2 linked regions of the Mus musculus genome follow. The protein of the gene in region 1 purifies or fractionates together with the protein of each later gene. This does not show direct contact. Links are inferred from orthologs where the notes say so. Each region holds a gene or a part of one and is shown on either strand. Other genes may lie near its edges.

Region 1 (3,805 bases):
GGAGAAGGGGGAGGAGCCCTAGCAGGAGGCGTGTCCCTGTCCTTCCCCACTTCAGGTCACTTCCTCTGAGAGAAGGATGAAGCAGGGCACCTAGCTAAATGCCTGTGTCACTTTAGGTAGGCTAGGCTGGCCTTGAGCCTCCAGAGTGCTGAGATCAAAGACACCACACCTACTTTTTCCTCTTTTGGGATAAGACTGTTTATTCAAAATGTGACAGGAACGGCTGTCACTGCCTTTCACTCTGCGCCTGGCTCTCTCTACACGAGGAGGCAGGCACTGTGCCAGTTCTAATAGTTTCCAAGTTAGAACAAGAGCAACTACCTTATGGTGGGACCAAATGACTCATCGAGAGCCACAGCCCTGAGTGGACAAGTCTTTAATTCCAGCACTCGGGAGGGAGAGGTAGGTAGAGTTTGAGGCCAGTCTGGTCTAGAGGAATGCCAGGGCGGGGGGTGGGAGGGAGGGGGGGAGAGAGAGAGAGAACATGGACGGCTCACATCCAGCAGGGGAGACTACTCAGCATCCCTCACAGTCTCTCCCTGGGCCAGCAACCTGGAATCTGGCAGACAGTTCCCAGTCCAGGAATACAGGCTCTGCCTCGTGCTTTGCACACCCAGCACTGCTCTCCCACCAGGACACTGTCTTCCCTACAGTCTGCGGCCCCAGGCCACTTACTGTCAAAGTCAATCTTCTCCACGATGTTCTTGGGCTTAATGCTCTCTTCCTGGCTGCAGATGAAGACCTGCCCTGACTCGTCAGCGCTCCAGCCGTACTTGCTCATCCACACCTTCAGCTGGTTGTCTGCAGGTGACATGGGCGGAGGTGTTGGTGGCCTGAACCCTAACACTAGGGGCTTTGGAGGCAGAGGAATCGGGGCTGAGCAGGCCAAGCCCCCTTTGCTAACTGCTCTAGGCCAACTCCTGCCTGGACAGCAGCAGGACTCGGAAGAAGAGATCCTCTAGGGCAAAGCCAGCAATCTGGGGCTCAGTCTCCACTTGGCCACCAGGGGGCGCACTAGCCTCTTTCTCCTAGTCACATAGGGGTTTTTCTGTAGGTTTTTGGTTTTGGCTTTGGTTTTTTTTTTTTTTTGAGACAGGATTTCATGCAGCCCTGGCTGGCTTGGACTCATCATGACGTAAACTCCTAATACTCCCGACTCTCTTCCAAGTACCAGGACTATAGAATTTGTGCCTCCAGGCACAGGTTCCCTTAGTTTCTTAACAATACTATTTATTTATTTTAAAAATAAAAACAAGACAAAACATTTATTTAGGGCTGGGGAGATCAGCGAATAAGAGCACTGACTGCTCTTCCAGAGGTTCTGAGTTCAATTCCCAGCAACCACGTGGTGGCTCACAACCATGAGATCTGATGCCCTCTTCTGGTGTATCTGAGGAGAGCAATGGTGTACTCATTTGTGTGCGCAAATGTGAATGTACGCAGGTGCTCCCAGGGTGAGAAACTGCATGGAATTTCTTGGTGCCTGTGACCGCCCACAATGGGTGCTGGACCCCGCAAACCTTCTTCCGCATCAAGCAGGAGATAGATGCTCACAGCTGCCGAACCTCTCTCCGGCCCAGCGCCACTTTTTGCAAACTCAAGTGCTGAGGGTTTTGGTTTGGAGGGACCTTTTAAGAACCTCATTGTAATCAAGGCTGGGCCTTCTCAGAGCCGTCCCATGTCCTGTCACCAGAGGACAGACCACGGAAGTTCTCCAGAGATGTGTATGCTTCCAGGGCACGCAGGCACAGCACACATGACAGGCAGGCCCCTGCTGCAGGAGGGCCACACTGGCCTCCTCTAGAGGCCGAATGCCATCCCTCCAAAGCAGCCCTGCTACCCTTGGCAACACCAACTACAAGGTGCTGATGCTTCCACTTCGCTCCATCCATGAAAAGGGCCTGAGCTCTCCTATTCACTGCCAAGGTCAGCATCAGGACCACTGTCTGACATGTGCATCTGTTAACTGGTTGGTGCAGAGGCTCATGCTATAGCCCAGGCTGGCCTGGAATTCCAGACAATCTTCTTGCTCCAGCTTCCTATAACTGGAATTCCAGGAGGACAGCACTACACCTGGTCAGGGTGTTTTCGAGGCAGTGTCTCACTACATAGCCCTGGTTGGCCTTGAACTCATGGAGATACAGAAGGCAACATCCTATACCAAACCCTCACCCACACTCTGGGGCAGGTAACAACCTCGGAAAGGTGCGGTGGGTTCCCCTGAGCTGCCTGAGGCCCCATGCCCCAACCACCTTTTCCTCTCAGACTGACAGAAACAGCACCAGGCCTCACCAGTCAGGTCTCCGAGCATCTCGGCCAGCAGCCAGCGGTCGATGTGCTGGTACGTGATGCCCACCACGTGGCAGATAACTGTGAGAATCAAAACAAAGACAGTCAAGAGGCCGCTGGCACGTAATCCAGGAACGGAGCTGTGTGAGAATTCTGAGGGCTCTTCTGTGTCCCCCGCAGGTGTAGTAAACAGCAAGGGCTTGCTCCAGATTACACACAGCTGCTTCTGTTATTAAAAAACCACTTCCAAGCGCAGCTTTATCCTCGGGGCTGTATATGGCTTGAACTTTGGGAACTGTGCTCGTATGACCATGCTTAACTTTCAGAATATAAACTTATGCTCTAAATAAAATTGGCTATTGCACAAGGCCCAGTCTGCCTCATTTTTAATCCCCCTTCTCCCAAGTCCCTGCTACACTGCCTTAAGCCCTCGGGAACCCAGGCTCCCAGGACTCACATTTTCGGACAGAGTCTTCAAAGCCAGTTATGCCTTCCAGAAGGTCCATGTTCTCATCCAGGGCTTGCTGTGGAAGAAAGGATGCCCCAGTATTAACACTAGCACCATCACTCAGCATTAACCAGTCAGTGCTGACGTTGTGGAGGCTGAGACAGGAGGGATCAAAAGTTCTGAGTCAGCAGGTGTGAGCAATCCGGGTACAGGAGATCGTGCCTCTGCCTGCCTGCCTGCCTGCCCACCTGCCCGCCCCTGTCTCTGGTTTAAGACAAGGTTTCTCTGTGTAGCCCTAGCAGTCCTGGAACTGGCCCTGAAAAACCAGGTTGGCCTTGAACTAAAAAAATCCACCTGCCTCTGCCTGGCTGGGAAGTCCAACAACCAAATCATAGAAGGTAAATGTGTACACACACACCCAGGCAGGTCATCTGTACACTTTCCATTGCCTCCATCTCCTTCAGCCACAAGGGTCTCCTCACTAGACCTGCCTACCTCAGGCCCTTTGTGCGGCTTTGTGCCTGGAAGTTTCCTCTTTGCAGCTCATCCTTCACCCCTCCAGGTTTTTACTCTCAGCAAAACTCCCTTAAACAAGAGCGGGAGAGCTGGGCAATGGTGGCGTACGCCTTTAATCCCAGCACTTGGGAGGCAGAGGCAGGCAGATTTCTGAGTTCGAGGCCAGCCTGGTCTACAGAGTGAGTTCCAGGACAGCCAAGGCTACACTGAGAAACCCTGTCTCAAAAAAACAAAAACAAAAAAAAAAAAACAAAAAACAAAACAACAACAACAAAAAAAACAACCCAAAACCAAACAAACAAACACAAGAACAAGAGTTGGAGAAAGAAGGGCTTCACTTTGGTGGAAGCCATTAAGTTGGGAGAAAACCTATGAGAGCAACTATCCTGGAAGCCCTTGGCCTTGTCTGCACGGGAAACTGGACACCTGAAGGCCAAGGTTACTGTGGGTCTAACAGGAGATGGTGTGTGCTGAAAGCTGAGCAGAGGGTACCACAGAACCCTCAGTGAGCAAAGCAGAGCAGCTTCTAGGTCAACAGGGGAGGGGGGCACT
Region 2 (4,471 bases), on another chromosome or scaffold:
CAAAGTGCTCCTAGCCTGTAACTAACCATCTGCTTCTCCTGAGAAGCGCAGAGCAAAATATCCTCAGAACGCAACACACTGCTTCTTTCCATTTGCTTGGGTTTTTTACACTTTATTGTGACATGTATAAATGTTTTTTGTGTATATGTGTACCACATGATCACTCCTGAGTTACAGAGACTTGTGAGCCATCATGCAGGAGCTGGGAATCAAACCCAGGTGCTCTGGAAGAACAGCAAGTGTTGAGCCATCTCTTCAGCCCCCTTCTATCTGTCTTGTGATATAGGGTCCCAAGTACCTCGGGCTGGCTCTGCACCCTCTATGTAGCAAGGGCTAACCTCAAACCTCTACCTTCCAAGTACTGAACTGCTGGCATGCACAGCACACTAGAGAAAACAACTTGTTCATTATCAGTAACAGAATAGGAGGCATATACTGATGTGAGGATTCCACACTGCTCCTCCTGGTAGAAACCAAAAGGCTGTTTCTCTTCTCACCCTGATGACACTGTGACACCCTGATGCCCAAAGCCAGATGGCCTTAAGAGTTCCAACCATTAAGGGCCAGATTCTCATTACTCTCCCTTTCCCTGCATACACTGGACGGGACCCACTGGGCTCCTAGCAGACTTGTTGAAGGCAGGCTGGCCTTGCAGTCACACCAGCCAGCATCCCCTGACTCCTATAATCCCCAATTCTGGAAATAATATACATACTGGAATCTGTGAATTAAACGGGTTCAAATATTCTTTAAATACTCATCTTGCAGTAGACTGACCCATTTTCTTCCCAGTACTTACAACCAATTCTAATTCAAACTCCAGTTCTAAGAGAGCCATCCAATGGCCTCCATGGGCACTAGACACACGGGCAAAATGATCCTGTGCAAAATTTCAATTAAAAACAAATAAACAAAACAAAACAGACCTTTGAAAAGGGGAAAAGATGCTGGTAGTGCCTATGGGCAAATGGTTTAGCTCAAAAGACGCTTGTTGGGCGAGCAGCAGGACTTGAGGTAAGATCACTCCTGTAGGCTAGCACCCAACTCAAAAAAGCTGGAGGGGCACGGAGCCGCATTCCCAGTGCTAGAAAAGTACAAGGACCTACGTGGCCTGCTGGCCCAGCCAAATGGTGAGGTCCTGTCTGAAACCATGAAGTGACAGGGACAGCCCAGACCCAAAATAGCCAAAGGAACCAAGGATTCAAAAGGAGCTTCAAAGTCAAAGCTTAGGCTCTAACATGGGGAAAACAGGTACATTAGCAAGCACTGGAGTCGGGCGAGAGTGGGAACCCAGAAACCTGCTCTACCCAGATAAACGTCCTCAAGGCTGGAGCCTATAGATTCCTCACATTAGTTTATCGGCTTCTCACTCTTAGCCATCTTTCAAGAAATAAGCCAGGCATGGTGACTCACATCTCAAATCCTGGCAATCTGAAAGTGGAGGCAGAAGGATGGGGATCAAAGACAGCTTCAGCTTCATAAAGAGCTGGCCAGCCTGGACCATGCCAGACCCTGTTTCACAACAAAACAAAACAACCCCCACAAACATACAAAAGGATTAAGTCAAACAATGGTGACATCAAATGACGACCTCTTGAAATATTGTAAGTTCTAAGTTGACAACTATATTGGGGCGCTGAATTTTCATGGTAGTTCAAAAGCAATTGTTTGGGAGTACATGTCTGTAGGACCAGCACCGTGAAAACTGAGAAGAACCAAGAGTTCAATTTCAGCCTGAACTACATAGAGAGGCCCTGTCTCGTTTAAAAAAAAAAAAAAAAAAGTGGTGTTCTTAGGCCCTTTGGCCCTTGGTATTAGCCACACCAACACATGAAGGAACTGGCTCAAGTGAAGTTGAAACGGCAGAGGAACACATGCTATCAACTGTCAAAAAAGATTTTAGGAATCTGGCTCCTGTGCAGGTAGACAGAAACAATGCCTTTAAAAAGCCAGTCACCATAGAAGAAATCATGAAGTAAGCGGCCAAACGAACAATGTGAAAAAGCAATGGTCCAGGGTACCGACCTAGTAAAAGGAAGCAGGTTGGTAATGTGCTTGGGTCCGATGGCAATGCCTTACTACGGAAACCATTGGGAACACAGCAACTGGTCAACCCTGGAAACCCTTGGCCAGGAAACTGGAATGCCCCCAGATAGTCCTGTTCGTCCTGCCCTCCACCAACCCCCAGGTGCAAGGGCTTGCCGCAGAAACGGACTCCCCAAATGGTCCCCCACTGTAGAGGAAACAAGATCGTTGTAACCGGGAGACCTCGCGCCCTGGCCGGGGACACGATCGCCCTTACCTTCCTCGCTCACGTCGTCTACGAAATCCTCGGGGTCGCTGAAGGAGGGCTCATCTGCCTCTCCGTTCTCCAGAGCCCGCGGCTCCGCCTCAGCCGCGCTCCCATCAGACCCGCCCTCCTCCTCCGCTCCAGCCGAGGGGTGCCCCCGGGCCTGCTCGCCAACGGCCTCTGCCTTCCCGGGAGCAGAGGGCTCCTGCGACGGGGACCGCTCCGCCGACTGCGGCGTGGGCGAGGCGGCCGGACTCGTCGCCGTTTCCTCTTCGGATTGGGCCGCCGGCTTGGCCCTCACTTCGGGCTCCGGTCCGGCCTCGGCGTCTTCTTCGGCGTCTTCCGTCTGCCCCACTTCGGACCCCCCAGACCCTGCCGCCTCGTCCGTCGGCGGCGACTCGGAGGCCGGCTGCTGCCTCGCGGGCTCAGCCCGCTCCTCGGCCGCCTCGGGCACCGCCACGTTCTCAGCGTCCTGCATGGGCCCGCGCTGCTTCTCACCCGGCTCGGCCGCCCTGCTTCCGACTCCCAGAAGTCACCGCGCGCCGCTAGCGCGGAGCCATGTGCGTGCAGCGATGGGATCGTACCAAGATGTGGCTCGGGGGAGACACCCACGCCCTCATTCCTCACGATCAGCCCGAGAAAACTCAGATATGCATAAAAATCTAGAAACAATTAAAATAATAAGTTTCAAGATATGCAAGTTTATTTATAGCCCAAAAGGTTTTTTAAGGTAGCAAATAAATTCACAAGGATATGTGGCTCCCCCATTCTAGCTAAGAAATAGTTGCGTCCAAGATGGTAGAAGTTCCTTTGCCTCTCCCAGCGGGCGCTACGGGGAAGGACTGTACTATCTGGGGAGCATCAAGTGGATTCTCAAATGATTAACACGCGTAACTGTATGAAGACAAAATATGTGACCATAAAATAATGCCAAGACAACTGAAAGCTCCACACATGATTCTTTGTAAGCTTTGCTTTTAATCAGACAGACTGCTTGACTGACATGACTGGCTTCGCTCCCCCGTAAGGTCTTGCATTTTAGACCGGTCCACTGACGGGGCAAAAGAACGAAGGGTTCCAAAATTACGCGAGGAGCTCGCCGACAACCAGGGGCCGCCAACACACACAAGAATGACTGCCCGCACAATGCAGAGTCGTGTGATGAGCGGCTTTAATCTCAATGGCCATCCTCACTGCAGCGGCTCGCAATTTAGCGTTGGCCCCAGACGTGAAAGTCACTGTGATTCTGTCTGCCGGTGACTGCGGTCTTCACGCGCGGGAGAGCGCGATCACGTGGGCCAGCGTGGGGTGGACGGGACGGAACCTTCGTGGAGTGACCAGGGGGACCCCAAGAGTGGTTTGCTTGAAAAGATAGTCAAGATTTTTGATACTTCCAGTTCAAAGTTTCGAAAATCTTAATAAGAACTAGTTGAGGGGACTAAGAGCTTAAGAACACAAGTTTCGCTCTCAGTACCCATATGGTAGTTTACAACCATCTCTTAACTCGAATTTTTTTTTATGCGTATCAGTGTTCTGCCAGCAAGTCTGTCTGTGCACCGTGTACAAGCGGAGGCCGAAAGAAGGCATCGTATCACGCGCAGGACTTAGAGTAGACAATTATGAACCGCATGTCGTTGCTGGCAATAGAACCCAGGCTCTCTAGAAGAGCAGGCAATGCTCTGAACTGTTGAGCCTAATTTAAAAGACAAAACAACAACAAAAACAGTTGAGTCACCTCTCTGGTCCCAGATCATTCCTAAGAAAAAACAAACAAAACTTTCCTTTTTTTTTTTTTTTAAAGGACCTGTTAGTTGACCAGGAAGCATAGACTTGGAATCCCAGCACTGGGGAGACTGAGGCAGAAAGATCATGCCAGCCTGTGCGATATAAAGACTAAACCACAAAACATGTGAACACGGGCTGATGGATAAGTTAGTACTGGGCTGGCTGAGGTTTTTTTTTTTTTTAAGATTTATTTATTTATTTATTTACTACATGTAAGTACACTGTAGCTGTCTTCAGACCCTCCAGAAGAGGGGTCAGATTTCATTACAGATGGCTGTGAGCCACCATGTGGTTGCTGGGATTTGAACTTCAGACCTTCGGAAGAGCAGTCGGGTGCTCTTACCCACTGAGCCATCTCACCAGCCCCTGGCTGAGTATTTATGATCTACTCAGAAG

The links.
Region 2: the proteins of Eif3k (region 1) and Eif3b purify together in Homo sapiens (affinity purification with mass spectrometry; 7 studies listed by BioGRID and IntAct, with this or other methods). This does not show direct contact. The link is inferred for Mus musculus from reciprocal best matches to the Homo sapiens genes EIF3K and EIF3B.

The regions. Positions count from the first base shown.
Region 1 is NC_000073.6:28,971,857-28,975,661, forward strand, and holds part of Eif3k (eukaryotic translation initiation factor 3 subunit K), read right to left. Parts: intron 2,814-3,805; coding exon 2,747-2,813; intron 2,371-2,746; coding exon 2,293-2,370; intron 802-2,292; coding exon 676-801; intron 430-675; coding exon of another isoform or gene 377-429; exon of another isoform or gene 179-376; intron 1-178. UniProt on the Homo sapiens protein: Component of the eukaryotic translation initiation factor 3 (eIF-3) complex, which is required for several steps in the initiation of protein synthesis.
Region 2 is NC_000071.6:140,417,658-140,422,128, reverse strand, and holds the start of Eif3b (eukaryotic translation initiation factor 3 subunit B), read right to left. Parts: upstream 2,825-4,471; 5' UTR 2,769-2,824; coding exon 2,303-2,768; intron 1-2,302.